Linked DNA regions of Drosophila melanogaster. Each later gene encodes a partner of the first gene's protein in a complex. Each region holds a gene or a part of one and is shown on either strand. Other genes may lie near its edges. The genes, in order: eIF3d2, eIF3b, eIF3c and eIF3l.

Region 1 (6,858 bases):
GTTCTTGTTGCTTTTGTTCGCTGGGTAAGTACTTACTTATGTGCCAGGGCATTATTCTTGGCTGTGTTCCTTTCACCAAGCCGCTACCGCTTTTTCCTACAAGACCGGCAGTGGCAGAAGAAAAGCTTCAGCGGCAGGAGCGATTGCAGATGAGCTGGAGATGAGAGGGTAAATCCGGAGGTTGGAAAGCGGAAGGCGGATGGGGATGGAGAAACCGCAGCGGTGACGTGGCAATGCAGCTGCATAATGTGGCATGCGGTTTGCATTAAAAATGATATTGCAACACGAGCCGCACATCTGCAGCTGTGTGCAGTTAGGCGCCGCCTGCAGTCACTGACAGCCGCATGGCAATTATAATCCACACACACATACACTCACTCAGACGCACACTCATCCACGGCTTATGGCTACACTGAAATCAATTCAATGGTAAAATAGGAATTATTTCAGTCAAAATAAGTTCCCATTGTTATTGCTCCACAGAACCCATTATTATATTCTTGGTATGCATTCTTGGTCTTCTATTCTTACATTTGACATTATCTCTTCATATTCTCGCAGTGTATCAACAGAGAAGTGCGAGGGAATCTGGAGCCGGGCCATGTAAGCAGCAGCTGCCAGTGACATACACATCAACATGACACCCTGTCGCTTGACAAAGCTTAGCTCAGGATCTGGGTGCTGGAAGAGGGGCGGAGGCACCGCACTCCCACTGTCATCCCGCTCGCACCCATATCATTTTCCACACATTCAGGCACATTCACACGCTCGACATGTTGCTTTTTGGGTATGAGCCGGAGTGCAGGATGTCCGCTTCCTTTTTCGCCGCCTCACACGTTGTTATCTAACAAGCTTTTTATGTGATTACCTTTTGCCTTCTGTTAGTTTTACTATAATTTGGCCTTTACGCTTAACGAGATTGTTGTAAGGTGCTCCCAGCCAAGAATAAGGAAACCGAACCGGAACACAGTGAGGACTGAGCCAAGTTGACCAGATCCAGCACACAGGACACTCGTCCCATTGTAGTGCACTCCGCTGTTGTTCCTTTGCTTTCCTGATACTTGGGTCAGAACAATGGTGCTGGAGTTGGAGTCATATGAATGGAGTCATGTCGATGTGAGCTTAGATGCGTCGTCAAGTGATAATCCCGTCACAGTACCCCGCTTCCTGTACCATTTCCACAGCTCAACAAACATTTATTTGTGCGCTTAGTGAGGGTTTTTTATAAAAGATAATAAGAAACAAGAATTTGTCGGCTGGAAGGGGATCCCCGCGCCCATCCTGGATCAGCTCACCATGCGGAGGATGAGAATAATCGTGGCCAATGAGAGCAGCACGACGTTGACGGAGAACCGAAAGACGAACAGGCAATTACACATTTCTTCATTGTGGTTGCGGTGGTGTTTAATTGGGGGCAGGGCGTCCTCCTAAGATTCATTCTCCAAACGTCTTACTTCTCACTTTGTGTAGTTTATAGGGTTTCGGTGTGACTAGAAATACAAATAAGACTGAGCTTTTATTGTGAGGAATTGGTATCTTTTGATTTCTCACAATAGGCTTCAATCTACTTACTATAGGCTTTTGAAGAAATCTTTTTAGTTGTCTATCAAAAATTATTTAAAGATTGGATATTCGGTTATTTCCTTAATGGATAAAACCGCCTTTTTCATATTATAACATTATCCAAACGTAGGGCTTGGAAAATTTTCCCAAGCTGTCAAGCCGGCCATACGAAATCAGCTCAGTGTAATTTGTACCTCGACAAAACCGGATCACATAAATGTAAATACTTGCTCTTGGTTATTTAAACATCTTTCGGCGTGATTATGTCCAACTACGCACCCTTTATCAAGCCCTATGTGGAGTACAACGAGCACGGCTGGGGTCCTTGCGAGGTACCCGAATTGGATGTGCCCTACCAGCCGTTCTGCAAAAGTGATCGCCTGGGCAAGATCTGCGACTGGACTGCGATGGTGCCCGAGAAGAAGTTCCCCAGTAAATACGCCTCGACCTTTGGCAACAACAGTCAGTACGCATACTTCTACGAGGACGATGACTCCACCTTCCATTTGGTGGACACCACTGGATCGAAGGCCACCAAGCCCTATCAGCGGGGACGCTATAGACCCAATATGCGCAACAATGTGAGGAGCAGGGGTCGCACGGGGCGTGGCACTCCGAATATAGCAAGTCTCGGGGGATCCACGGCTGGAGGCGCAACTGCCAGTACCACCAAGTACGGAAAGGGTCGCAATACACGCAACACGCAGAATATGGGTCGCAGATTCGGTCGCAATGCTCCCACCAGAATCCGCGAGAGCTCAGTGATGGTGCAATCGGATTGGGTTTCGATCGAGGAGATTGATTTTCCACGCCTTCTCAAGCTGGCACTTCCCAATATTAAAGATGGTAAGGACATTGCCACCTGCGGATGGCTGGAATTTTATGATAAGTTATACGATCGAGTCAACTTACGCAATGAAAAACCATTGCAAAAGATGGATCGTGTTGTGCACACCGTGACGACCACGGATGATCCGGTTATTCGTCGTCTTTCGAGGACCATGGGCAATGTCTTTGCCACCGACGAAATCTTGTCCACCATAATGTGCTGCACACGCTCCAATTACTCTTGGGATGTGGTAGTCGAGAAATTGGGCACTAAGGTGTTCTTAGATAAGAGATATAATGATCAATTTGATTTGCTGACTGTCAACGAGACTTCAGTAGAACCTCCGATGGATGAGGAGGGTTCCATCAATTCGGCACATAGCTTGGCAATGGAGGCCACTCTAATTAATCACAACTTTAGCCAGCAGGTAGGTTTACAGTAGGTTTCAATTTATGTTATTTGTTATTGTACGTTTTTAAATCTTATGTTATTTATTTTTAAAAGGTTCTTCGCATTGGCGACCAAGAGCCACGTTTCATGTTTGAGGAGCCCAATCCGTTCGAGGAGCCAGGCGTGGATCTTGCCTCCATTGGCTATCGCTACCGTCAGTGGGATCTGGGCAACGATGTGGTGCTGATTGCTCGCTGCAAGCACAATGGGGTTATCCAAGGACCCAATGGGGACGTGCAGTTCCTCTCGATCAAGGCGCTGAATGAATGGGACTCCAAGGTGACCAACAGTGTGGAGTGGCGCCAGAAGTTGGACACCCAGCGCGGTGCAGTCTTGGCCTCCGAGTTGCGCAACAATGCTTGTAAGCTAGCTCGATGGACCGTTGAGGCTGTGCTGGCTGGTTCCGATCAACTGAAGTTAGGCTATGTGTCCAGGATGAATCCGCGTGATCACCTGCGTCACGTGATCCTTGGCACACAGCAATTCAAGCCGCAGGAGTTCGCCACCCAAATCAACCTGAACATGGACAATGCCTGGGGAGTATTGCGTTGCCTAATTGACCTTGTGATGAGGCAACCGGATGGAAAGTATCTGATCATGAAGGATCCCAACAAGCCGATGATCCGTCTGTATGACGTTCCGGAAAACGCCTTCGACTCCGACGGCGATGAGGAGGAGGAGTCCAGCGATCCCTTGAGTAACTCCAACGATAACTAACGCCCTCACGAATTTATTCAACTAATAGTTCTCCGAACAAGGGGATCCGTCGACGGACGAGACAAGCCGACACATGCTGACAGATGCGCAGTGAACACAAATGCAATTTAAATTGAGTTTTTGACCAAACACAACATATGAACGGAGCCATCACTTGACATGTCAGTGAACAACGGACCGGGTGACCGGGTGCAGTCACAGTTATTTTGAGGATAACATGGCCACATCAATCACTGCGGTTCCAAGAAATACAAAATGAAACCCGGCTAAATAAATATGCATTGTGCAGAACATCCCCCGCCATTACCGACTGACAATCACAATAATTGCGGGGGAGTGGAACTGGGGCTGAAATGGGTGAAGGGCTGTTTGGGTGACAAACCTCAGGATCAATAAATCACCGAACACGGCATCAATCAATGCAAATTCTGATGCTGCTGTGGTGCTTGGCGTGCGACAATTTAAGCAAAATGTTTTCGTATTCAACAGCATTTAATTAAATTCATATATGTGCTCGAATTTCATATGCATCCTGCCTTTTTTGTTATTTGGCAATTCAATTTGGGCAGTCAGTGAGCACAAAAGTGCAGAAATTATTCCCCAACGGAAATGCAAATCGCTCAACTAAATTACCAAAATGTTTTGCGCATTTTTGTTTTTGTTTCTCCGTCCGCCAATTTCTTTTTGTTCAGCGCCAAATTGAATTTAGACCTATTCAATTTGCATGGATAGGCTTGCACTCCCTTTCTTCCCCAGACAGGATGAGCAAATGATGATGCCTGGGTGTGAAATAAGTGTGTGAAAATATTTAGGGAATTTACGCAAATGAAAATTGAAACCGATTAATTTTAATTCCCTGCCTGCGGCAAATTTGATTGATAAAGTCGGTCCATTATGTGGCAGTGCACAGATTCACAATGCAGCACATACATATGTATATGTGTGCACATCAAGTATACGCACAGTTGGCCGGAAAGGCACTTGATCTTGCCAGTAAGCAGCAGTGAAACACCAAAGTGTTATTCAATTAAAACATTTTGTTTGCTAAATCAACATGTGTGCCTGTGTGTGTGCCTGCAGGACCAACTTACGAAATGACTATTGCGGACTGGTTTTTTAAAGCGTTTGCCGCAGAAAAGTTGGCTCCGGCTGGTTAGCTGCTCGAGTGGCTTCAGCTACCATGTACCACCAACTACGGAGTACAGACTACCGACTACCAGCTGGCAACTACCGGCTTTAGCTACCAGCTTTAGCCTTAGCTGTAGCTGCAGTTGTAGCTTCGGCTTCTGGCCAGGACTGGCGTGGCATTTCAAGGTCTGCGCTTGGCTAACCACGCCGTTGAAAGGCGTTTAACAAACTGGCAGGCCGGGTTGGCCAGGGCACTTGCCAGCGGCAACAACTCCTAGCCCAACTCAAGTGGGGCCTTAACGCAAAACTTTGTACATTTTATCGCATATGCAGGGCTGCGGGCCATTCCGGGGTAACGGAGAACACAGACCGGAGAGCCCAGAACACAGGGTGTGGGTTAGTGGGCTGAGGTATGGGTTTAGATGGCCAAGGCATTTGCATATGCAACCACAAACACCGCCCGAGTGAAAAGTTAAGCGTTGAATGAGGGCGACAAATTGCAAATTAAACTCTTTTGCATTTTCCCAGCATCACATCACATGAGGAATAGTTGTAAATAAAACTGCCACACCCGCGTCAACTTTTTCAGCTCCTGCGACCTCCAACTAAATTCAATTTCATTTCAATTTGCCTCACTCGCTTTTTTCGCTGAAATGGGGTTATGGTAGCTGGAGCCTCGGAAGCCGTCTGAGCCGCATTAGGAAACCAAATGCGACTTTAAGTTGCCACCAAAGCATTTGGCCCCAGGCCCTCTAGCCGTTTAAGCAACGGATTTGCCATCTTTGGACTTTGGTTGGGTTCACCAGGATCAGGGGGCTCCGGGTGCCAGGGGTCACGCATTTCGGGGGGCGGACTGAAGAGTTTAGGAATGTTTGTAAGCCAAAAGTTTTGTGTTCTTTTGGCCAGCTCGGATTTCGCCTCCGCCTTTTGGCATATTTAATTTGCCGACTTGTGCCAGTTTTTCTTTTCTTGTCTTTCCTTCTCGAAAGATCCTGTCAATTTTGTGACATTTGCTTTGGGCTCCATTCACCGTTAACTTTTCAAATGCAGCTCATTTAAATATCATTTGTCTGGGTAAAAGTTTGCCACGAGAAGTCAGTTAATCGAGGATGAAGCCCACGGCTATTAATATAGGTATGGATTGAAGTGAAAAGGGAGACCCAAAGCAATCAAATATATCGTAAAATCAAAATATTACTTATATATCAAATCGGAGATTCTTTAATATTCCCTTCTTTTTACAGGACGAACCTGATAGCCCTGCTACTCTTTTCCAGATGAAAATTCGTAAAACTTTCTCACTCAAGTTACCCCAATATAATATATTTAAATTACCCCTTCTGCATTTTAGACGGTCGACTAGACACAGACGAGAGCACACTGTTGTTAGCCACAGAATAAGAAATGTTATCAATGCCGCCAACACCTCTGCAAAAAACAAAAGCAAAAGCACCGAATACAAATTTCAGCGTCACCCAACAAATCTGCAACAATAGTGATAATTTTTTCCACTTCTTCAGCTCGTTTCGCAACGCAAAACTTTGTGCAAACATTTTGCCAAACTTATTCTTTTTTTGCCGCGTTTTGAGCTAAAACTTTTTTGTTGGCGAGAGCGAGAATAATGGCTAAAATTATGTAGATGCAATGAGGGGTAGTAACTGGAGCACGGGAATATTCACATAATTCGATGAAATGAATTGGTTGCAGTTGCAATCCCAGCTGCGAGTTAACTGACAATCCGCCCAATGATTGCATATAAAAAGTTCTCAGATGCCGCAAAATTATCGCCGCAGCCGGTCCAGGCCGGAAATCATTTTCCTCTTCCGGCCAGGCAAGGTTCAGTTGCCGATTCTCATCTCAGCTCAAAGAAAAAACGAATATTTTCCACGTCTCACTCGGAGCCTTAGCTCCTGACCGACTGCGCCTGTGGAGCAACTTCTGTTTTACACATTTCTAATTCGTTTCCTGCCTGCAAACGAATGGCTGGCAAAAGTCTGTCTGCTGAAAGTCTGCCTGGATAGGGTCACAAATCTGGACTGAAATTCATTGAATACTTGTCAAAAATATCCCAGTAGCCAACGTAATTGGATTCTTTGTTGGCGCTGTCACCCAAGTTGGGCACATGTGCACTTTTGCACTCCTGAATATATTTCGGCAGATTACAAATTCGA
Region 2 (7,145 bases), on another chromosome or scaffold:
AGGAGGCCTCCAGGTCGGGCGGATGGACCACACGGAGGCCAAGCTGGAAACGTGTACACTGGAATCGCTGCTGGCGGCGCAACTCCTTCAGCTTCGCCCACTCCTTCAGCAGGCGCTGGAGAAGATTACGCTGGGCAGCGGACTCTGCGTAGTAGCGTTGCCTCAGCTGACGGGTCAGCTTTAATTGACGCTTCACCTCTGCCGTCTGATCCTGGCCAGCTGAGGCGAGCAGCTTGAGTGCCACCTGGCGGGCTATCTCCAGTTCCTCCCTCAGTTTTCGACAGATCCTCTGCTTCCTCTGCTGGCTGTACACATCGAAGAGATCCTCCAGCTGTTGGGCCAGTCGGTGCTCCTCCAAGAGTTGAGGATGCAAGCTGAACCGAAGTTGTTTGAGGCACAATTTCAGGCAACGTCTGGAGGGCAGGCCCTTCAACTCACTTGGAGGCATGGGAGGGAAGAACACGCTCTGAAATCTCCTATGGCACACACTGCGATATAGATGTTTCCCCATCAAGAAACTCGCAGGCTTCTGTCCACTTAGCTGACCAATCAGATCAGAGCCCAATTTTCCGGACTTGCTTTTGGACTGCTCCTGGTAGCGGTTCAGCATACGGATCTGGGAGTCCTTCAACTCACTCAAATCGCTCAAATGCAACTGAAAGTGCAGGGTATTACTCGGTCGGTAAAGTAAGCTCTCATCATAGTAGTGGCGCTGCTTGAATAGCTGACCCCAGGCCAGAGGAGGATCGTGCAGATCGATATGTATAAATGTCTGGGAGGGCGAATCCGTTGGTTCCTCAGCCAGTTCCCCACCCGAATCTTCGTCACTCTCCTGGCAATCTTCAACAGCGAAATCGTTCTCCTGCTGCATCTCACCCTCAAATCCATGAAAGAACTGCAGGCTAAGTGCCTCCATGTCGTGTTCTGGACCAGAGATTCTGCCTTCCGTTGCCCTTATCAACTTTTGCACCTCCTGCTCCCTTTTCCGATACCCTCTGGTGGTATGGGTCTTGCGTTTCTTCTTTGCAGTCTTCCTGGATAGAGCGGCTTCCATGTTACATAGGTTATTACAAACGGAAAATGCCAGGCAAACAATATTCCGCCTGCTTTGACCTTTCAACTGGTTGCCATGGGCAACTGACTTGACCACTGTTACACACCTGCTCACCACCAGCTATCTATCGTCTATCGCCTTGAATGAAACATCAAAAAAACATACCCCAAACGTATTTTGTTTTCGTTTTCTTTTTGCTGTTTACATACAAATACATGGCAAATCTACTATTAGGCATACTGGAAGGAGGAGGGGTGTGCGCAAGAAAGGTCATTTAATTAGATGTTATGTTCGCAATTGCTGATTGAGTTGAAGTTTACTTTTGGGCTTATAATTCGTATGTTCGTATGTTGTATGTATAGGCAAAGGTTCCGCTTAGAGTTGTTTGCAAGCAGACGCGTGCTACTGTATTGGATAATGGATTAGGGCCCTGGCATCAACCAGGGCGTAGACGCGTCCCGGACACGAAATGTGAGGCGACAGGATCGCTTCGAAGTAGGCAGGGGACGACAGCGTTGGAGTGGCGTTGAGGGGGTCGTCTACTCCAGCAGAGTGACTTCTTCCTTGACTAAAAATTCAACAATTTCTTCATCCACTTCGTCAGTTTCCAGGTTGTCTGTGTCCACATCTGTTGCGTAAGGATAATATACATATAGAAATCGGCAAATTTTAAACAATTTGTTTCTTGAGAATACTTACGCCCTCGCAGCATGATGCGACGACTCTTCTGCTCCGCCCACTCGGCAATACGCTTGTTGCGGTACTCCATAAAGGTCTCGCGCAGCTGCGAGCGCTTCTCGAGCAGCTCCTTGGAGGCACGGGTAAGGCGCAGGCGATCCTTTTGTTCGAAGGCAGCGTAGTACTTCTTCAAGTTCTTCTTGATCTCCTTCTGCTTCTCCTCGCTAAGCAGGGTGGGAGGACGCGGGCGCCACAAGAACTGCACAAAGTTCTTAAGAATGGTACGCTTGATGATGCGGCCCTGGAACGTGTACATGTTGAAGCCGGTATCCTCTTTCACCTTCCATGACGAGACACCAGTCACAACGTAGCGTCCAGTGGGATCCCACTCGACCTCGGAAGCGCGGAAATGATCGGGCGATGCCGTGATGATGTAATCGTTGGTGGAGTCCACAAACTCGAAGGTACCCATGGTGAGGTTGGCCATTACGATAAACTGACCGCGTGGCGACCAGAACAGATGTGTGCATGACTTCTTTTCTAGACGCTTCACCAAGCTGGGCTTAACGCCCTTGTTCACCTCGTAGAAGCTCACATTCGACGAGTTGGTCTCGCCGTGAATGATGGAGAACTTGTTGCCGACGGGCTCCCAGGCAAAGGCCAAAATAAGCTCACGAATCTCCACAGAGTCGACGGGAATCTCCTTCTCGCGCATGTGGAAGATCTCAAAGTTGTAGAACATGCCCAGAAACTTGACGTCCAGGTCCTTCTTATCCTTCTTCAACTTTGAGTAACGATCTACCTTAACGCACAGATAGTCGCCGGACTTTTGCCAATGTAACTTGCAATCGGCCACATGGAAAAGGTTCTTGTTACGGATCTCACGCTTCTTGGGGATCTCCATCAGGGTAACGCGGGCGGGTATTTGGTTCTGCTCCTCCACCCAGTAGGCAATCACGTTGTCTGTGGGGGACCAAGAGAAGCCACGAATGCCGGGAATCTTAATGGACTTCAGGTCCAGAAGATAGAAAGAGGGTGTCTCGTAGATGTGGATCGAATTCTCGCCCATGCGGGCCACAAACTTGTCGTCGTGCGACCAGCGGAACATAGAAAGAACCGACATGCCATCGGCAACAAACGAACGTTTCTCGGCTCCAGTGCGAATGTCCCAGATGATGATCTTTTGGCCCGTGGGTGTCGGTCCGTAAGTCACTAGGTAATTCTCGCAGGGCGAAAACTCAACGAATTGGGTACCAGGATGGGGAAACTTCTGAATCTTCTGGAAGCTACTGCCACCCCAGATGGCCACACCGGGTTTGTGGAAGGTGACTACATAAGTACCCAGGGGCGACCACTTGACGAAGGTGTCGGTGAAGCGTTCGCGAGTCTCCAGCTCAAAGGGTTCGGGCAATACGTTTTGCCAGAAACCAACCTGCACGCAGTTGGGAGCGGTCTCCGCTGCCACGCAGTACTGGTCATAAGTGTCCGGGTCATTGATGAAGTTGTATAGATCGCTCTGCACTTTGAAGGTCTGCACGGTTGGCGGCTCCCACTTCTCGGGGATGTTTTCGTACCTGCCAAGATTAAATTTTATTAATCTCATTGCTTGATGCGGATGCAAGGAGAACTTACTTTTGGAAATCGGTGAAGAGATTGACGGCAAAGGTGTGGTTTTTGTCTAGGCGATGATTGTTGAGCTTCTTGACGGCTTCCTCCGCCTGTCTGGCCTGCTTGTACTCCATGAAGGCGTAGCCCTTGGTCTTGCCCTCCTCGTCGACGGGATAGACCACATTGACGATTTCTCCGTAGTTCGAAAACAGCTTGTTGATGACCAACTTCAGCTTCTCCAGGCGCACCGGCTCCACCTTTGGGATATTGTCCACTACCACCACACTCTCGACGCCATCGGCCTCCGAGGGGCGCTGGGCCAACATGTCGCCCAGCAGATCTGAAAGTGCATCACGAATATATTTAATTAGATATGCAAATGCAAACTTTCGCACACCGCACACGGATTGAGGTTAGATCGCCGCGTGTGATGCGCTGGCAGTCGGTGATTTTCACCTTCATCACTAATGTTGTCCACGAACCCGGGCGGATCGTCAAAGTTCGGCTCCTCCTGGTAATCACTGTCGTTCGCATCCGTACCGGAGTGCTCCTCGCTTTTCTTCTTGGCCATATTCAGCGATCTATTTGCAATTTTCCGTCATTAAACACACAAGCACAAAGTGAAAAAGGAAGAGCGAGATGCCGCATTTGCCAGTCAAGGCGAAACACTGTTTTGTGTGAATGGTTAGTGTTGCCAACTACTCACTGCGTTGATAACGCGGCGGGGTAACTTTTATTAATATTTATAAATACATATGTACATGCATATATTTTAATTTACTGTTTCTTAGATTTATTTGTATTTATACTGCATATGTTTGCTTGACAGCAATGACAATAATATCTGGATCCTTCTCTTATGGATCCTTAACAACAGAATCTTAGGTGCTTATCTGGTGATAATGTGTTAAAACGGCTAAATATTATCATTTTGTATTTCATGTACATACAATTATTTAATATTAGTCAATATGTATTAAGCAAAGTATAACCTATAACAACTAGTTTAATCGTTCTTTAATAATACATACATTTTTTCCGCTTGCAACTCTAGCGATGGAAGTTTTGAAGCATGTTCAACCGATTTTTTAGAATTAGGCATCAATCGATTTGTTGCCGATAAGCCAAAACCGATTGCATCGAGTAATCATCGGCTGGGGTTCCATCTCTCACATGAAAATTTGTAAGATTTTAGAGCAGATCGGTGTCCGTGATTTTCTCAATTTAAGCCCAATTTGTAGTATTAAAGCTGTTGAAAAATGCAGCGGGGACGAGCGCGAACCGTGTGAAATGCATGCGAAAGTCGTCGGTGCAGCAAATCAGTGCGAAAAACATCCCAAATGTGCGTAGGCCCCACACTCACTCTCGCACACACACCCGCGCGCACATACACAGCTTTTTCGGTCACCACTCGTTCGCTGTGGGTGCGAGCAGTACCACACTAGCAGTGTCGCACACCAGCACTGCCAGTGCAGCGGGAGCGACAGAGAGGCAAACAGCGGGCGGCGGACAACAACAGTGCGAGGCGAAGGAAAATGTTTTCATTTACTTAAGTCGGCGGTTCCCCAAAGAAAATTGGAAACTTGCTGGCTTAAAACGGATTGGGAAAACATTAATTATACCATGGACGGGCGGTTGAACACTGCGATGGGTTGAAAAGTGCGTAAATGGCTTGTCCAGACGAGCAAATCGCAACAGCTGATGCAGCAGCATCTCGAGAAAAGCGAACAGGCAACTGTAAAGTGTTCTCTGTTATTGTCGCACTGCAGCCCCGCCCCCGCCCACCACCCACCGTCGCGCTCCGTGAATGATTCACATTTTCTTTCGGCTGCCCGCCTGCCTTTTAAGCTTTTTCCCTGCCCCGCCCGCCGAAAAAAATTCGCTGACAATGCGTGTGCGCAATTAGTTATTTTTCTCGATTTCCAAGTGGTTTGACAAAGTGCCAATCGTGTTTTTGTATTTTCTTGTGTTTAGGCTCCAAGTGAAAATCACCTAAGCTGAGGAAAACTCCAAGCCACACTCACACACACACGCACTCGCTCGCACGCAGAAAAGAGACAAGTGAAAAAGGAAAAGCGGTGTGTTGTGGTCAAACATAGAGTGCGAAAAGTGCAAAAAGTGCGGAAAGTGAAGTGGCGGGCGTCGGAGAGCCGGAGTCCGTCGCAGGAAAATCCGTCAGCATGGATGTCGAAACACAGGAAATACGACAGGTAAGCGCAGCAAGAGGGCTTCCCGTGTACAAAGTTACACATAAAATAAACTCATATTTGAGCTAAAAACAAAAAGCACTCATTAACATTCCAACGGAGGCGAAGCGGGCCTAAACACCTACTCTCTTGGCCAAAATGGTGCGCTGAGGTAATGCCGCTCGGCAACTTAGCGCTTAGTATGCGACCGACACCTACTTACCAATCGACTGGTTTCGATGGCCAATGCAAACAACTACAACCGGTAGTTGTGTGGGGTGTGCTTGTGCTGATCGGAATATAATGCCAGCAGCCAACATCCATTCATAAAACTGCAGCTGAAAAATCGAAGCCGGAAAATACGCTTTACCCCTGCAAGATTAGGCATTTGTTATCGTTTTTCTCGCTTTGAGCTGGCCGCTGTTGCATGACCTAATCGCTAAATATGAAAAGAAAAAACAAATAATAAAAAAAAAAAAAAACGGCTTACGCATGCGAATGCCAGGCGCAAAGGGAGAAACGCTAACACTCTGCTCGGCGGTTTGGGGCCTTGCGTGTACACCGACTTTTCCCCCAGACAACTCCCTAGAAAGTCGCGCTGGAGTCTCGTTCTTGGCCAGCAAAAACAAACAGCTAGGAACCATAACGCGAACCGAACCTATGGCTAAACCCATTCAAACATTCAAACATCCAAGCGCTGACTCAAGCGGAGCACTCTCTTCTTGCCCGCTTTCCTTCATCAGCACTCTTTGTTATATTTAGCCGCAGATATCGCTGCCCATTCTCTGGAATGCCAAAAACAAGCAACGTTCGGCTAGATAATGAAATCATAAAGTCGCGCCAATTTCAATTTGTGACATTTGAAAACCACCAGCAACTGAAACTTTATTACAAACATGTGATGGAAATGTTTGCGGCACAGAGAAAAAACATCTCTAAACTGAACAACAATAAATCATCATTATATTCATTTTTAGTTTTATTTTCTTAAATATAACAATTATCTCAGAAAACACTAGTTTATTAGCTTTCTAATTATTACTCCCTCAGCAACCTAATTCTCATTAAATTAGATTGTTTTTTTTTCGTGTGTATTTGGATGCTTGAATACAAATATGCTATCCATCCATCCATCCATCGTTCGTTTATTCATAGTGGGCGTCCAAAGCAGCACTCATTTATTGTTTTTCTTCGAATTGCCTGCACGGTCTTTTGAAATTTGAGTTTTAGACATTTTTCCCCCGCGAGTCAATGCAAAGTGCAGCCAGAGTTTTTCCGTTTCGTTGGCCATTCAAATTATGTTGCGGACAGTTTCTTGCTTTTGGTGGAAAGCGCTTCGCTGGGCAAACAGGTTTTCCCTCCACCTGTTGACCAATTCGCATAGCTGGTCGGTCTACGACCTACGCCAATATTGTTTTCCCCGCCACTGCACTTTTCCCCCCTTATTCAGCTTGAATTATTTATGGCATATGGTTACAAGCATTTAATCCAAAAACCGCCCAAGAGCAAATTCTTTTCAACTGGCTTTGGGTATACAAAAGAATCGAACCACTTTGGTGAGATTCTCTGACATAGTTATTGATGACTTCATGCAACGATTTTGTAAGAAACCCGTTTGA
Region 3 (7,937 bases), on another chromosome or scaffold:
TTTATAGGTGAGATTGCCTCACCTTATCGTTGAAATAGTGACCTTTCTCTTGGGGAAGTACTCCGATCTGTTTATTGGGCGATGGGATTTACCATTAATGTACGACCTATATGTGTTATTGTTTCACAATAAGCAGGATTATCAGCGTGGAGGCCATGTAATGTCATACTTTGTCATTAAGATGGATTTTATATATTTCGTTAAAAAGCTTTTTTTTATACGACCAATAATAAGAACTGCGACCATTACCTAATCATAGGCTTGTATATACTTCTAAGAAACTCAAAGACGGATTCTGTCTGAATATAACATTTTTTATAGTTCGCTACTTGAACTTATTTATAAAACATTCACTAAATAATTTACATAAGGATACGAGTCATGGAACTAAACCAAAGCTGCTTCTGGTACTTGGTAGACCTAGGCTGTTCCTCCACTCTGGTGTCGGCGCTGATTACCGGTGAGGTCATTGTGTCCCGGGTTCTGGCCCACTGTGGATTCAATGCCGTTGCCAGGATGCTGGAGCTGCGTAACGGGTCAACTTTTTGTCTTGGGTTGCGTCTTTCCGCCGGAACTACTCGCATTGTCGTACTCCGAGCCGGTGCAGTACTCAGATCCGACCTCCCGCAGCTCAATCTTTTGCTCCCTCATGGCGCGCTAAAGGTCAAAGATTGGGTCAACCAGCTGGATGATGAAACTTGAAACCTGGGCTTACCTTGACGCACTCCTGATAGACCCGGAAAATCGGCGCGCAGCCCGAGTCATCCGTCTGGCCCTTAAGGAAGCCTTCCGAGAACCAGCTGTTGAAGCAGGCGTCGTACTGCTTCTTTAGCTCATTGCAATCCTCGCCAATGCTGTTCATTTGTGGAGTGAAGCTCTTTGAGTTTCAGTTATAATTTCTCTATTGAATAATAAGTCGAAAAAAATGTGAGAATGGTTTGTGTGAGGGTCATACTACAGATAAGCTATCAGAGATGTGGGACACAGCATATCGATGTACGTTTCGTTGAAACTGAACGTGCTATCGAAATTTGAATTTTCAATTCTTTAAGAACATCTAATTTATTTTAATAAAGGCACTCTGGTTATAACGAAATCAGTTGTCCATGTTTCATGATGATACTATTAACAGTCAAAGTACTACGAAATGTTTCTCTTTACAAGTATTTTGTAGCGCGTGCAGCCACCAATTAACGCTGGCGAGGATTAGGATGGCTATATGGAGCAGCTTACGGGGTCAGCTTTCGCCCGCCTGCTGCTGTTTTGCATCAGATCTATTCGCATTATTCTCCTCAAGCCCGGTTTCGAAGATCGGATCTATCTCTTGCAAATCGATCTTCTTCTCCTTAATAGCGCGCTGGGGATTACAGGTTGGTCAAACCATACGTGGTTAGGGAGCCGATTAGCTCACCTTGACGCATTCCTGATAAACCCGGAAAATCGGAGCACACGCTGAGTCATCCATTTGACCTTTTAGGAAGCGTTCAGAAAACCAGCTGTTGAAACAGGCATCGTACTGCTGCTTCAGCTCGTTGCAATCCTCGCCAACGCTGCTCATTTGTTTACTAGGTATATTTTGGTTTTAATTTATAATGCCTATTATAGAGTTCCGAAAAAATGTGACAAAGGTACGTCGAACGGTACTACTGAAGAAAAGGTTTCAGAGATGTGAGAAAAAAAGAGCATATCGATATCCGAAGTTTTGCAGAAAACGAAGCTTGTCATCGAAATTCAAATGTTATTCTTAGTTTTCTTAAATTTTCAAAAGCCAAAGTGTTAAGCCGACTAAAATAATACTCTTGTTAGTACATATAAATTTAATATTAGTTGTTGGTAAAAATTTGCAAAAAAAAGTCACTGATTTTGTGTCTCTTGTTTTTAAGGTTTCTTTTTCGGTTTTGGGTTCATACAAAATGTAGTTATTAGTATTATCATTTAACGTAATGAGCGCTGAAACAAATGTTCGTGTGACTTGGCTACAACAATATGCAATGGACATGATAAAAACAGACCTCCGACCCAGCCTGAAACCGAATCGGAGGCCTGAAAGCATGTGACCCAACGTGTTGTCCATGGCCATTCCATTTTAATAGTCGAAGTGCTACAAATTTGATCTGTTTAAGTTTTGCTGATGTTTAAGCTAACGCTCGCTAGAGAGGATGGGCTGAGGTTGCAGCAACGTCTACTCCTCGTCGATCGTTTGGACTTGTTGCTGTTGCTGCTGCTGCCTATCTTGGTTGTTCTTGTGGTGCCCGCGCTGGTTACGGTTCCGGTTGTTGCGATCCCGCCGCTGGCCGAGCCAATTGCCGCCCTGGTTGTTCTGGTTGCGGTTGTAGCCACGGTCACCGCGATTGCCCATGTTGCCGCGCTGGAAGAAGTTGCCCTGCTTCATGTCGAACACCTTTTCGTTGACGTCCACCAGATTTGTGACCTTGTCCACGAATTGCATGGCCAGGGCCTGAAGACGCGATGGCTCCGAACGATGCATACCCACGGTTTCGGATGGATCGTCCAGGCTGGCCATGAGCTCCTCGTTGATGATCATCTTACTGATGATGGAGTGCACTTTCGGCACGGGCAGCTCGTACATCTGCGCCAGCGAAGGAATGCTGATCGAGGTGTAGACGTTCGAGTAGGTGAACAGGTAGGTGCGCAGCGATTCTTCCTTAATGAACTTGGTCAGCATCTCGCGCACGCGATCAGACTCGTAGAAGAGGTCCCACACTTTCGTGTTCATCTTCTTGTTGACAATGAAGTTGGCACACGCCTGCCAGTTGCCGCAACGCATAGCCTTGGCAGCAGCCACGACATGCTCACGCATCGACTCTGGTGGACCCACCAGTGATTGACGCTCCGAGGAACGCAACTGCTGGTAGAAGGTCTTACTGATCATGCGGCGGCGGGCGTCGAATTCATGGGCGGCAATGTAAGGAATTTCGAGCAGCATAGCGGACACCAGGTAGACACATTCAAGCAACTCAAGGTTGATGTGCATATGGAATGGCATCTGGCGTTGCTTCTCGATTTTCTCCTGCTCGGCAGATCGCTCGTGCTGGCGCTGAGGCAGCAGTCCTTGAGCGAGCAGCTCCTTGGGCTTGCCGGTGACCATCAAGTCCACTAGACAGTGATGCGCATCCTTGACGTTGCCCTGGCGGAAGGCACACAGACCCAGATTGGCCATCATACGGTTGTACAGGATGCGGGTGGCGGGATCGGCGGCATCAATGTTGTCCTGCAGATGAGACATCAGCACCAAATCACGGGCCTGGAACCAGTTGTCGTGCATAGCATGATGGTAGATGTGCGCCAGGATGGCCCTCGTACGGATACGATCCGTATCGTCCTTAGCGTAGATGAATTTGCACAGCTTATCCATCACGTCTACGGAGGTGGAGGTAGTGGCTGGCAGCTCACCGCGCTTCTTCTTCAGCACCTCCGGATCGAACTTATAGTAGAGATGTTCGATCTTGCGCAGGTAGATGCGACAGCGCTCGTTGTTGGTGCCAGAGCGCTCGAAATACTGCAGCACCAGTTCAATAGTCTTAACCACGTTCACCTCGTCCTTCAGCCGGGACACGTAGTCGTTGGAGTGTGGATCGCATTCCTTCAGCAGCTTAACAAATTCGTCATCCAGGCGCTCCACGGCAGCCAGTGGGCATCCCCTCACATAAAACGGTGACGTAGCGTACTCCTCATGCTCCTCGGCCACGCTCTCGCTCATAATAATGTCGGCGTTGGCCAGCAGGAGCTTCATCATGCTCTGCATTACCTCCAGAAGCAGGGCCCAGTGTTCTAGCTTCATGGGCTCGGAAATCTTCTGGTTGTAATCGTAGATAGCCGAGATGATGTTAAAATGAATCTTCACGGAGACGGCGGTTCCCAGGTTGTGCTGATCAGAGATGTCCCTCAACTCGAAAAGCAGATCGATCTGCAGACGGCGATCGGTGCGCTTCTTGCCGCGAGCCGACATAATTTCCAACAGCTTGGCCAGCACTAGGGGAACATCGATCTCTGCGTCCTTTTCGAACATCTTGGGCTTCTCTACTACATGACCCTTGACCACAGTCTCCCACTCGCCATCTTCATCGTCCTCGGCGCGCTTGCGGATCTTGGTCTTCTGCTCCTTACGCTTGTCCTTCCTCTTGTCATCATCCTTTTCCTCCTTTTCGGTAGTACGCTTCAAGAATCGCTCGCGCATGTTCTGATACTGGTTCTCATCGTCAGAGGACTCGGTCTCCGATTCAGAGTCCGAGTCCCAATCAATGGAGTCATCGGAATCGTCATCATCGGCGGGCGCAGCCTTTGCCGGCGCGGACTTCACAGCTTTCGGAACCGCTTCTGTAGGCTTCACTCCGGCGTCGCTGTCATCACCAGCATCGCCGCCGTCGCTCTCCAGGGCAACCACCTCGTCCTCGGCCTCGCTCTCCTGGTCGGGTGCTTCACGGAAACGCGACAGATCGTCCTCGAAGTCCTTGATGTACTTGCGTACCTTCTGGCGCAAAGTGCCCAGCGACTTGGAGTTGTTCTTGGAAAGGTTTTTCCTGCCCTCGCGATCCTCCCACACCTCGTTGATGAAGTCCTCCAGCTCGGCCAGGCAGCGAATGTAAAATCGCGGCGTAATGCCGTTCTCCTCCTTTGAGATGACCGGCAGTGCCTTCTGGTAGGCGCGCGTCAGATCCTCGAAGCTGCTCAGGGTATTGGGAATATCCTTGATTTTCTTGTGGTTGCGAATGGTTTTGATGATGCTGGTGAGGTTCTCGTAACGCTTCTCCTTCGTGGAGCGGACCACGCGCTTGACCTCCTCCTCATCGTCGCTGAATTGCTGTTTTCCACGGAAAGGAATAGATTAGTAATGGATGAGTTTCACATCTGGGCGGCACTTACGAAGGCGCTGGCTTTGTTGAAGTTGGTCGCTTGGATCTCCTCCTCGCTGGACTCGGACTCCGATTCGGACCCGTTGGCAAAGAAACGCGACATCTTTGTTGACTTTCTACGCGGCCGTTTGTCTGCGCCTGGAATCACAATTTATTAGTTTCGGGCCACATAAGATTTTGCTTTGTTGAGGTTATGTTTGAGCGGCCAACATGGCGTTTTGCAAAAACGTATGCCAAATATTTCCGCATGACATTTGGTTGTTTCATTCGAAGCCCTGGCAGAAATCGGTTCACTGCCTTGCTTTTTAAGTGTTTACTACCACCTGGCGTTTGATATTTCACAATAAACTTACTATTTTACAGCAAAACTAAACGATGTCGAATGCACAAGACATCAAAAAGAGAGACTAGAGATGGGCGATGGTTGCATGTGTTTTCGTTGGCGATATATATTGCTCAAAGTCACGGGGCGGGGCGTTTGATTTATGTATTAATAATAACTGTCATGTTGAGAAATGATTACTCTCTACTAATATTCGTAAGGAGAGCGTTTTAAACATTTTTTTAAATGTAACAGAACATTTGTTTTTTTATGTGGCGGACCAACAGTTACCGAAATCTATCCCATCTCTAAGGGAGTCACTGTTTTGACTGAATGCGAGCGCGTACTCATCGATAACGAAATGCCGGCACTTCTCGAGATATATCGATATCAAGTAACCGGTTGGGCGGTACATTTAAAATAAATCCATTAAATTACATAGCAAATATATCATCAAAATGAAATAGTGGCCATTTAAGTAACTATTCAAAATAATGTTAAAAAGATAATCAGTGATCAATGCTTACATAGATGTTGCATTGGTGACCTGCAACATTTGAAGTTGCCAGCAACATGTTGCTGCGCTTGCGTGCAAAAGTGCCGGCATTTCTTAGCCAAACAGAGTGGGGTTCCCATTCTGGCGCCCCAACCAATCTCCGGATCAATTGGTCCGGCCAACATGCAGCCAGGCAGCCAAGGAAAGGCCAAAGCAAAACCAAGCCAAACGTTTTCGCGCGCGCCAACAAGTCGCATGCGTTCTCTCCTCCGCGCCGACGGACAGTTCAAGTTCAAAAACTCAATTTTTCGGATGTACTCGGCGATTTGGCAGCGTTGATGCCAATATCCGGCGATAGAGTCTCAAGTGCTTTTGCGGCCCGCTAAAAAGAATTCAATAAATTCATTCATTTGAATTCTTGTGTGTTGTGTTGTGTCTTGGCGGTGTAAACAAAATTTGGCCCAAGTGTGCGGTGTGTGCGTGGCATGTGCTCTGCCCATCCACATCCTGTTTAAGTGGCATCCTAAATGAGATGCGACGCCCGGAATCGCTTGAAAACACGAGTAACACGGAAAACACTTTAACGCAAATGTAAGCATAATAAATAATAACTGCAGATTGATGGAGATGTGTGTATCTGCGGTCTCGGAAATGGCAAATTAAAAATTGATCGGTTAATCTCGCGTAATCGCCCTTTTCCTGGCTTTTCGACAGCTGACATTCGAGAGTGCATATGGCGGCTTTATTATCCGGAGAAATTGATGAGAGCTCCATAAATTCCCTGTCCGCCTATCGACATTTGAATCCGTAAAGGGTCCGTGAAATAGTACGGGTTTCTGCTCCTTGACTCCTCCGAAACTGCAGCTGCAATCGTAAATTGTGTGTGGGTGCAAAAGCTTATATGCATTTACATACATCCAAATCGGCAAAAACGGGCCCCTTTTTCCTGGGGTTCTGTTTCTGTTTCCGTTACGCTTTTGTGCTGTTTATTTTGCTTCCGTTTTCCGTTGGATTGTTACGGCTTGTGCGGCCCCATAAATCCTATATATGGGTTGGATATTTTCAAAACCGATGCTCGAAACAGACTATAGAAATTTCCATTTAAATGCGATTTCTGCCCTTGCTCGAGCATAGATTTCCTGTTGATTGAATACAAATGTTGAGTTACGCAATTTCAATGAATAATTCCTAATAACTACTCCCACGTTCCTGCCTCCATTTTAATTTAGTTTTTATTGATAAAACCGATGCACTTCTTTTTCATTCAATTCGTCATCATCCATTACACAGAAAAAATGGCTTTATATTTAGATAAATATTTTCCTGAAATAAAGTATTTCTTATTCGATAATATTATATTTTTAATAATTTGCCTTCTCTCAATTTGAAAATATTTTAATTCCTATGGATATTTTAATATAATGGAGCATATTGTAAAATTAATGTCCGCTTACTACAAAACTCTTTTGCGAATAAATTGAATAGTTTCTTTCCATGCACTATAAATTCTGCGTGTTTTTCATTTCAATTTAGGAGGAGCAGACATAAAGGTTACAGTCGTAATCAGAATCTTGAGCTCATGTTTTATTCGGGGATTTGGACAACACCCTTTTCATGCTGCACACTGAGTTTCCACAAGACGGAAACTCCCAAGCTAATGAAAAACCAGGGAAAAAACCCCAAAACAAGCTAAAGCCATGGACAGGAGCACTTGAGAATGCACAAAAATGACTGGGTGGGAAATAAAAATGCAGGCGAAATCCCAAAGTGCATCGCTTGTGGTAGCCATTTATTTGCTTTTGGCAGCTGGATACGTTAACGTGGCTTTAAGGTGCCATTAGCATGGCCTCACGATCGTGAAAACTTGTGAGGCAAAACAAATTTGCAGCTCTTGGAAAATATAGTCTTCCTTCGCACCTAATCGCTAAAATTGTCTATATTTTGGCGTACTATATATATATATATTTAAATGGGGCGTGCTCCTGGACACGATCCGTTCATCTAGTCAGTCCATTGAGTAAGTTTGTTTACAATTAACCGACGCGACAGCATTAAACAAAAACTATGTAAACATATTCATGAAACATATGGGTGTGATCTCGAAAATGTTATTCTGTTGAATGGATTGATTTAAGGTGCCTACGAATTAAACAATATCAGCACCTTGCCAAATTTTCGTTGGCAAATCTTACAAAAACGAAACACAACGAAAAAAAAATAAATAGCGAAAAGCCGCGTAAAAGCA
Region 4 (7,282 bases), on another chromosome or scaffold:
GTCTTGGGTGGAGTGGTACAAATCAACCTGATAAGCTCGAAAGGAAACCGAGGAAACACGCATGACAATCTTCTGGTAAATAACACAGGAACATATGTACATACATATATAGCCAGTTTGAACTACTTTTTGCTACATAATTGCCCAATGGTGATTAGAAAGAAAACGAAATACATAGAATTTGGCTAATGTTCTAAATGAAACAAATATGACGAGGTCTGAAAGGCCATTTCCGTCCATCTGGGGGAAACTCGAAGTGCGAATGATGCTATTTTCGAGGCAATAAGAACCGAAATAAATTATGGAAATCGACCAAAGTCTGGGAGGATATATGTCGGCTGTCTGCTTTCGACGCTTCAAGGCAAATTAATTGCGCGGCATTGTTTATTTTTAGTCATAAAAATGTTTGCATATCATCGATAGATTGTTTATTTTTCAAGATATGTGGAAATTTGTGGGGAAAAGCGCTTAAGTCTGTTGACATATGGAAGGATAATGATAAAATCACCTGTTTCACACAGCATCATCAATCAGCAGATGCTTCTTATTTGCCGCATGCGCATTTGAAAAGCCGGAAAAGAAGGCAAGCACAACTGGGGATGCAACCGGCAAAATTTTCGAATTGCTCCCCCGGGAAGCTTCATAAAAGTCCGGAAATCAAGAATCTAAAACCCCAATGCCTTTGCTCAAAACGAACGAGTAAAAACGGGCGTTGTTAAGCGGCATTTTTGTTTTGCCACCGCTATTCGTAAGCAACCGTTTGATCGCTCTCCCGTTCTCACCAAAACTCTCGCGATCGCTAAGAGCGAGTTAAAAAGCGAACAACGGGCCAAAGGAAAATGGAAGAGCGAGTCTTCAGCTTTGGGGAACACGCCCAAAAAGTTGGCTTACAAACAATCGACGTTTTATGTCACATATTGCTGGGAAAATCGAGCCGAAAGGATCTGAATTCCTGGGTTAGTCAATGGGTATCACTGGTTTTTACCTGCTTGCACCGATTTAATGCCATTATTGACCAGCAATAGGAGGCATAACAATCCAAACTGAAGCGAGGAAAATGCTGCTTTCGTATTGCTCCTGGGCGGCCTCATCTTGGAGGCTGTTAATTAAACACTATCGCTTGGTAGATTTATAAACACATCTATATTCGATTTCCGAAGAAGTTTAACACCAAAATGCACTTTTCCGCTGGAAAAACCACCGTGAAAAGCTGATGATTTGTGGCAACGCGTCCGCGGTGTTAAAAACGTTGGACTGCACTTTACGCTCCGCTTTAAATCGATTTTGAATTTATGTAATTTATCCACTGGGTGTACGGCTCCAGCAGATCACGCCCACTTCGGAAGAGTTTCGTTTGAATTAAGAAAATAATTATCGCAACGCGGATGACACACGAACAGAATGTCTCGCTGCCAGTGTGACCGTGACTCAAACGTGGCAAGATACCGAGGGAGTCACCAACTGGGTGCTTGTCGCGTGAGCTAAGCTATCGTGTGATTAAGTATATGAAGTATTTACAAATTATTTCAACTGCTACTATGAAATTAAATTTGGTCACTAATAATAGCTTTCCGTTAACATTTATATTAATTCGTGATAGAAATTTTTTTGCATAGTTTTAAAGCCATGTAATATCATTGCAAAATGAATGATATAAGCAAAGTATACAAATGTAATGGCAAATAAGTCAAATCCCCTCTAAAATATTTTTTAAAAATCTAGTTTTCTTATCTATCCAGAAATTTGAAATAAAATACATATTTTACAAAAAATTATTTCGAATACCAAATCGATAGGGGCGTAAAACATCGATAGTCGTAGTAGTATCATTATCGATAGTTGGTCACACTGTTTATCCCTCTTTTCGCCAAAAATTTGTTGGCGTGTTGTCAATTTCCTAAGCATTTGATCGGTTTTTTCGTTTTGTGTGTAACCCGGAGAGGATAAAACAGCGACAATGTACGGTGGAGACGAATACGCAACCAACTCGGTGAGTGCAGCCAGCGAGGAATGATTCATTCTCGGGAAACCAATCCCCGGACTCCGCCGACAACATAACCCATCTTTTGTTGCCCTCGCACAAATACAAAACTCACTGGGATGATTTTAAAGCCGTTTTACGACTTGGCATAGTTGGTGTTTAGATCATCATAGGTCATTAAGCACTGATAATCCGTGGGCCACTCCTTTGACACGTTCCTTTGCTATTTGGAAACGAATCCTGTAGTCCGGGGGACACCCCGGCGCCATGTGGTATATTATTGGTATCGGTGTACATTATTAATAAGTCATAATACCTTCTACATTTTTGATTTGCGTGCAATTTTAGATGGTGTGTACACACCTTTAAAGAACACATGAATATATTCTAGCTTACTCCTTAGAGATGCCGTGGAAAGAAGTACCCCTCTAAGGTTCATCCACTTCGTAATCGTAGGAATGCGCTCGTTTTGTTAGCTACAGCTCGCTTAGCTAAATGGTCGGGATTAAACTCGGAACAGTTGTAGCATAGTCTCTCGAATTCCTATTTACAAAGTCGAAAGTCTTCAATAGTCTAGGCAAGCTGTTAATTTATAAAATCGATCCACTTTAAGCGATTAACTCTATTTAATAGCTCATTTATGCAGAGAGTCGTAGATCAGTATTTCCTGCAATTCTGCTTCCAAAAAGTCATTGGGTTTTTTACATATTACAGGATTACTACGATGACTACGCTCATACCGGAGACCCGCAACTGGACATGGAGTACGAGAGGAACTACTACGCCGCCCGGATGCCGGACAACGTCAAGTACTTCCTCATAAACTTCTGCCAGGCGATCAAAGAGGGCAACTTGTACGACATCCAAAACATGTACGAGAACACGTTCCCGCAGATCAGCGACCACCACTTCGACAAGACTGCTTGGCCCGAGGAGCAGGAGGTGGCTGCTATTGTAGACAACGACAAGGTCTTCCTGATCTTATACAAGGAGTTGTACTATCGCCACATCCACGCCCGCATCCCCGGTGGTCCCAAGTTGGAGCAGAGGATCAACTCGTTCTTCAACTACTGCGACTTCTTCAACCTGATCATCTCGGCCCAGAACCCAGTGATGCTGGAGCTGCCCGACATCTGGCTGTGGGAGTTGGTGGATGAGTTCGTGTATCAGTTCCAGAACTTCGCGCAGTATCGGTATGTAGCTGTTTCCGCAGCCTGTGGAACTCGATTAACCTTCCATTTTTGCAGCGCCCGCCTTACGGAGAAATCGCAGGATGAGATCCAGCAGCTGTGCGTGAACCACAGCAACGAGTGGAGCATTCTCTGCATCCTCAACGTTCTGCATTCCCTTGTGGACATCTCGAACATCAAGAAGCAGCTGGAGGCCATCTCTCAAGGTGTTGATCCCCAAACCGTGGCCGGTGACTTCGGCAAACTGTCCTTCTACAAGATGCTGGGATACTTCTCCCTTGTCGGACTGCTGCGCGTTCATTCGCTGCTGGGTGACTACTACCAGGCCATCAAGGTGCTGGAGCCCATTGAGATCCACAAGAAGTCCGCCTATTCGCACATCCCCGCCTGCCAAATCTCGACGTCGTACTACGTGGGCTTCGCCTACATGATGATGCGCCGCTACGCTGATGCCATCCGCACCTTTTCTGATATCCTCCTGTACATTCAGCGTACCAAGCAGCTGTACAGCACGCGTTCATACCAAAACGATCAAATCAACAAGCAGGCCGAGCAGATGTACCATCTTTTGGCCATCTGCCTGGTACTCCATCCCCAGTGCATCGACGAGTCCATCCAGCAGGTGCTCAGGGAAAAGAACTACCACGACGCCATGTTTAAGATGCAGTGCGGTGATCTGGAGGTCTTCAAGTCCTTCTTTGTCTTCGCCTGCCCACGTTTCGTGAGCCCCTGCCCGCCAGCTGTAGACGCACCCATGGACGACTACGTCAAGGACCCCATGGAACACCAGTTGCAGGTTTTCATGGATGAGGTGCGCCAACAGAAGGATCTGCCCACAACGCGCTCGTATCTAAAGCTGTACACCACCCTGCCGCTGACCAAACTGGCATCTTTCATCGATCCCAACGCCAGCGAGGATGACGTGTCGAAGCTGCTGATTCGCCTGCTTTGCTTCAAGCACAAAATGCGCAACCTAGTGTGGAGCAAGGGACCCAGCGGCCTGGAAGGCACATTCAAGTCTGGCTCCGAGGTGAGATTAATATAGACAAATTCTGATGGCAAATATAATAATATACATTAATATTCTAGTTGGACTTCTACATCGACGACGACATGATCCACATAGCCGACACCAAGGTTTCACATCGGTATGGCGACTTCTTTGTGCGTAAAATTCTTAAGTTCAACGATCTGAATCGCAAATTGAAGAACATCAACATTTAAGCCGACTCCTTGTGACCCTTAATGATAAATTTAATATTCCATACTGGACCGATTTGTTTCGATATCAATAAAAATCGCTTGCGATCTTGCGCAAGTTTGGTCCTCAAAATGTGTCTTGAGTATTTAAATAATTTAAAATAATTATCTAATTTTTAATAAGAATCCAAGTTGTTTTAACACTTGCTTTATTTTTAACAATACCGTTATTTTATAAAAATTGTTTGTATGACTATAAGGAAATTCAAGACTACACAGTACGATTTTTGAGTTCGCCACAACTCCACTTGTGCTCGGCATGTGCCTTCAGCAACGCAACCAAGATTCGTTTTCGGTTATGGGGGAATGTGCGTTGAATTAATACGTAGTATATAATAATAACATCTCATATCAAATTTCTCTCCTGTTCGTCGCATAGCGAACACGAGCAAATTTCTTTGGTAAATCAATCGTATTAAGCGCTTGTTGGGGGTAAATAATTGTGATTTTCGGGGGGGTTGGACAGTTGGCGTGGAGTTGGGGCTACAAGCAGTTCCACACACATACACACAGTTTAAAATTCAACTTAGGATTACAGTACACTTTATACACGACATTGCCTTCTGTTCTCTAGTTTCTGTTGCGTTTTTGTGTGCTCTCTCTTTAGCTAACCATTGGTTCACTTAGGACTAACATTAAAATCAAACAATTTACAATTACGGACTTGTTGGTGGCCGGGCCAGTTGTTAGTCCACGGACACTGTGCGCTGATTGACGTCGATCAAGTAGATGTCCTTGTGATTCTGCAGCACAAAGTCGACGAAAGCATTGATGGGAGCGATCTCCTCCAGGGAGGTACTGGTGCTGCGCGACCACAGGAAATTCGGACCGAACACGATGGCCAGGTTGGAGGAGGTCATCTTGTTCAGATCCTCGCAGTCCATCACCCTGACCAGGAACTCAACAATGTACTTGAACAGTTCATAGTTCTCCTCTGGCAGTTTTTCGCGTATCAGTTGCGTCACGTTCCTCGAACGCTCTTCCTTGGGCCAGTCTAGAAAACCGGTCACATCCTCGTACAGCTCGAAGGTGAGCAGCGGCTCGGCGAGATCGCGCAGGAAACTCTTCAGCAGGCCGGCTATCACGTGGACATTAACGCTCTTCAGATCCACATCCTCGCCGCGGTTGACGCGCTCCTTGAGCGCCATGATCTCCGAGTGATTGCCCGATCGACGGAATATGCCCTCCGTATCGATCACGCCCGTTATGGACAGCGAGTCCACGCACTTGCGCACAATTGGCGGAATGGAGTTTAAGCACGGACTGTTCATCACAATGAATTTCAGGGGCACACCAAATTGATGCGTCGTCGCCATTTTGTGCTGCTGCTGCCGGGATGCATTTATATTGCTGCTGGGCGGCGGTGTCGATGGCTTCCGGCTGGGGTTCAGTTTGTCGTCCAGGTCGCAGATGTTGTCCGGCAACTTCAGCTTGTTCAGGCCGAGCGCCTGGCGCAACTCGTCCAAGCTGGAGATGTAGACTAGCTTCTTGCGGAACTTGTCGCTAATGAACGGGCTAAAGAAGTTCCAAATGACCCGTATGAACCACGTCGGATGAACCACATACAACGTCTTCAGATTCTTGCGGAAGTTGCGATCGAGCTCCTTGTACGAATTCCACAGGAACTGTGCGGATGGTTTGTTGTCCTCCTTGAGGCCTTGATGGAAGTAAACCAAAATGTAGTCGTTCTCCACAAAAGGTTCGATCTCCTTGATGATTTCCCTGATAGACAAATGGAAATAGATTAATGATTGAACAAAAAATGTACTCGAATATGAATCCTACCGCACAAATCCTTCCAGTTGGGATTTTTCGGGAAAGCGGGATGCATAAATGCCAAAGATGTGGCGACCCTGCTTATCGGTTCCCAGGAAATCGCATTTGTTTCTGGGAGTCTGAAAGTTTTCAGACTGCTCCCTGAGTTGGTCCTCGAAGTCGTCCTCCAGCGGATTTACATCTTCCTCGGGCTCAAGTTCTGGATCTAGGCGTAATGCGAAACGTTATTCATTGGCCAGGAGAAGTAGATTCCGCCACTTACCTTCGGCCAGAACGAAATCACCGACCATAACATCTTCTGGGAAAAATCGAAGAATTAGTTTGACTATGATTTTGTAGATTCTTTAAATATTCAATTTACTTTCAAGCGGAGATGGGGCCAGCAGCTCGGTATCATCAAACTCTAGCTTCGGCTCGAAGTCGTGCAGATCGGAGAGACTGGGTTGGGGCTCATCCGAGTTATCGACGATCGGATTGATGGCGGGACCTTGGGGTGCGAGAGGAAGGCATTTATAAATCTCGTAGGTTTCCCTGGCGCGGACTTGTATTCCAAAAACGTAATCTTACAAGTAATGCTTTCAGTTAAGTATTTTGACGGCCTGAGGCAACAAGTTTAGTTCGGATTGAGTTTGAGTAAGTGAATAGACATGAATCAGAGAAATTTCATTTGTTAAGTACATTGGCATCTGATTGTATAATCAACAGTCTTACGGTTTCGATATAATTGGCAGACGATTACTGAACAGAACAGAACAGAGACGATTAGGAAACTCTAAGCTAGGGCGATTAGACTATAGACTATGAAGTAAGGCTATAAGGGCTAGGGCAAACACATACGATCACAAAACACATCGGGTAACCAAACATTGGCAACAACACAGCTAGCGAAAAGTAGTTAACAAATAGGATCCACAACAAACCAAGCAAACAAACCACATTGGATAGTTTTAAAATGCAAGTTATGTATGTACAGGAGGAGACGGTAAGCTGCCCACATAGGCTGGATAATGCAGTTTGAAATGGGGTTAGTAGCGCAACTTGATACCAAAAACAAAGAACTTGGTTAGGGGGCGGC

What was found.
Region 2: eIF3d2 (region 1) and eIF3b share a complex: the UniProt entries of both Drosophila melanogaster proteins name them as parts of the eukaryotic translation initiation factor 3 (eIF-3) complex.
Region 3: eIF3d2 (region 1) and eIF3c share a complex: the UniProt entries of both Drosophila melanogaster proteins name them as parts of the eukaryotic translation initiation factor 3 (eIF-3) complex.
Region 4: eIF3d2 (region 1) and eIF3l share a complex: the UniProt entries of both Drosophila melanogaster proteins name them as parts of the eukaryotic translation initiation factor 3 (eIF-3) complex.

What each region holds. Positions count from the first base shown.
Region 1 is NT_033777.3:12,189,921-12,196,778, reverse strand, and holds eIF3d2 (eukaryotic translation initiation factor 3 subunit d2), read left to right. Parts: upstream 1-1,767; 5' UTR 1,768-1,826; coding exon 1,827-2,819; intron 2,820-2,896; coding exon 2,897-3,559; 3' UTR 3,560-4,076; downstream 4,077-6,858. Other genes in the region: CG43450 (uncharacterized protein), read right to left, coding at 1,292-1,438. UniProt on the Drosophila melanogaster protein: mRNA cap-binding component of the eukaryotic translation initiation factor 3 (eIF-3) complex, which is involved in protein synthesis of a specialized repertoire of mRNAs and, together with other initiation factors, stimulates binding of mRNA and methionyl-tRNAi to the 40S ribosome.
Region 2 is NT_033778.4:17,533,231-17,540,375, reverse strand, and holds eIF3b (eukaryotic translation initiation factor 3 subunit b), read right to left. Parts: upstream 4,164-7,145; 5' UTR 4,047-4,163; intron 4,044-4,046; exon of another isoform or gene 3,922-4,043; 5' UTR 3,912-3,921; coding exon 3,797-3,911; intron 3,681-3,796; coding exon 3,365-3,680; intron 3,307-3,364; coding exon 1,754-3,306; intron 1,683-1,753; coding exon 1,594-1,682; 3' UTR 1,313-1,593; downstream 1-1,312. Other genes in the region: Cc2d2a (Coiled-coil and C2 domain containing 2A), read right to left, coding at 1-1,054; patronin, read left to right, coding at 5,521-5,550. UniProt on the Drosophila melanogaster protein: RNA-binding component of the eukaryotic translation initiation factor 3 (eIF-3) complex, which is involved in protein synthesis of a specialized repertoire of mRNAs and, together with other initiation factors, stimulates binding of mRNA and methionyl-tRNAi to the 40S ribosome.
Region 3 is NT_033778.4:17,663,107-17,671,043, reverse strand, and holds eIF3c (eukaryotic translation initiation factor 3 subunit c), read right to left. Parts: upstream 5,367-7,937; 5' UTR 5,228-5,366; intron 5,013-5,227; 5' UTR 4,978-5,012; coding exon 4,885-4,977; intron 4,823-4,884; coding exon 2,183-4,822; 3' UTR 2,059-2,182; exon of another isoform or gene 2,013-2,058; 3' UTR 1,769-2,012; downstream 1-1,768. Other genes in the region: CG30109 (uncharacterized protein), read right to left, coding at 538-657, 716-862; CG30108 (uncharacterized protein), read right to left, coding at 1,238-1,357, 1,412-1,558. UniProt on the Drosophila melanogaster protein: Component of the eukaryotic translation initiation factor 3 (eIF-3) complex, which is involved in protein synthesis of a specialized repertoire of mRNAs and, together with other initiation factors, stimulates binding of mRNA and methionyl-tRNAi to the 40S ribosome.
Region 4 is NT_037436.4:12,140,664-12,147,945, reverse strand, and holds eIF3l (eukaryotic translation initiation factor 3 subunit l), read left to right. Parts: upstream 1-1,848; 5' UTR 1,849-1,957; coding exon 1,958-1,990; intron 1,991-2,695; coding exon 2,696-3,174; intron 3,175-3,228; coding exon 3,229-4,201; intron 4,202-4,260; coding exon 4,261-4,395; 3' UTR 4,396-4,500; downstream 4,501-7,282. Other genes in the region: Nrx-IV (neurexin IV), read right to left, coding at 986-1,091; RhoGAP68F (Rho GTPase activating protein at 68F), read right to left, coding at 5,118-6,153, 6,217-6,412, 6,470-6,505, 6,569-6,694, 6,919-6,945. UniProt on the Drosophila melanogaster protein: Component of the eukaryotic translation initiation factor 3 (eIF-3) complex, which is involved in protein synthesis of a specialized repertoire of mRNAs and, together with other initiation factors, stimulates binding of mRNA and methionyl-tRNAi to the 40S ribosome.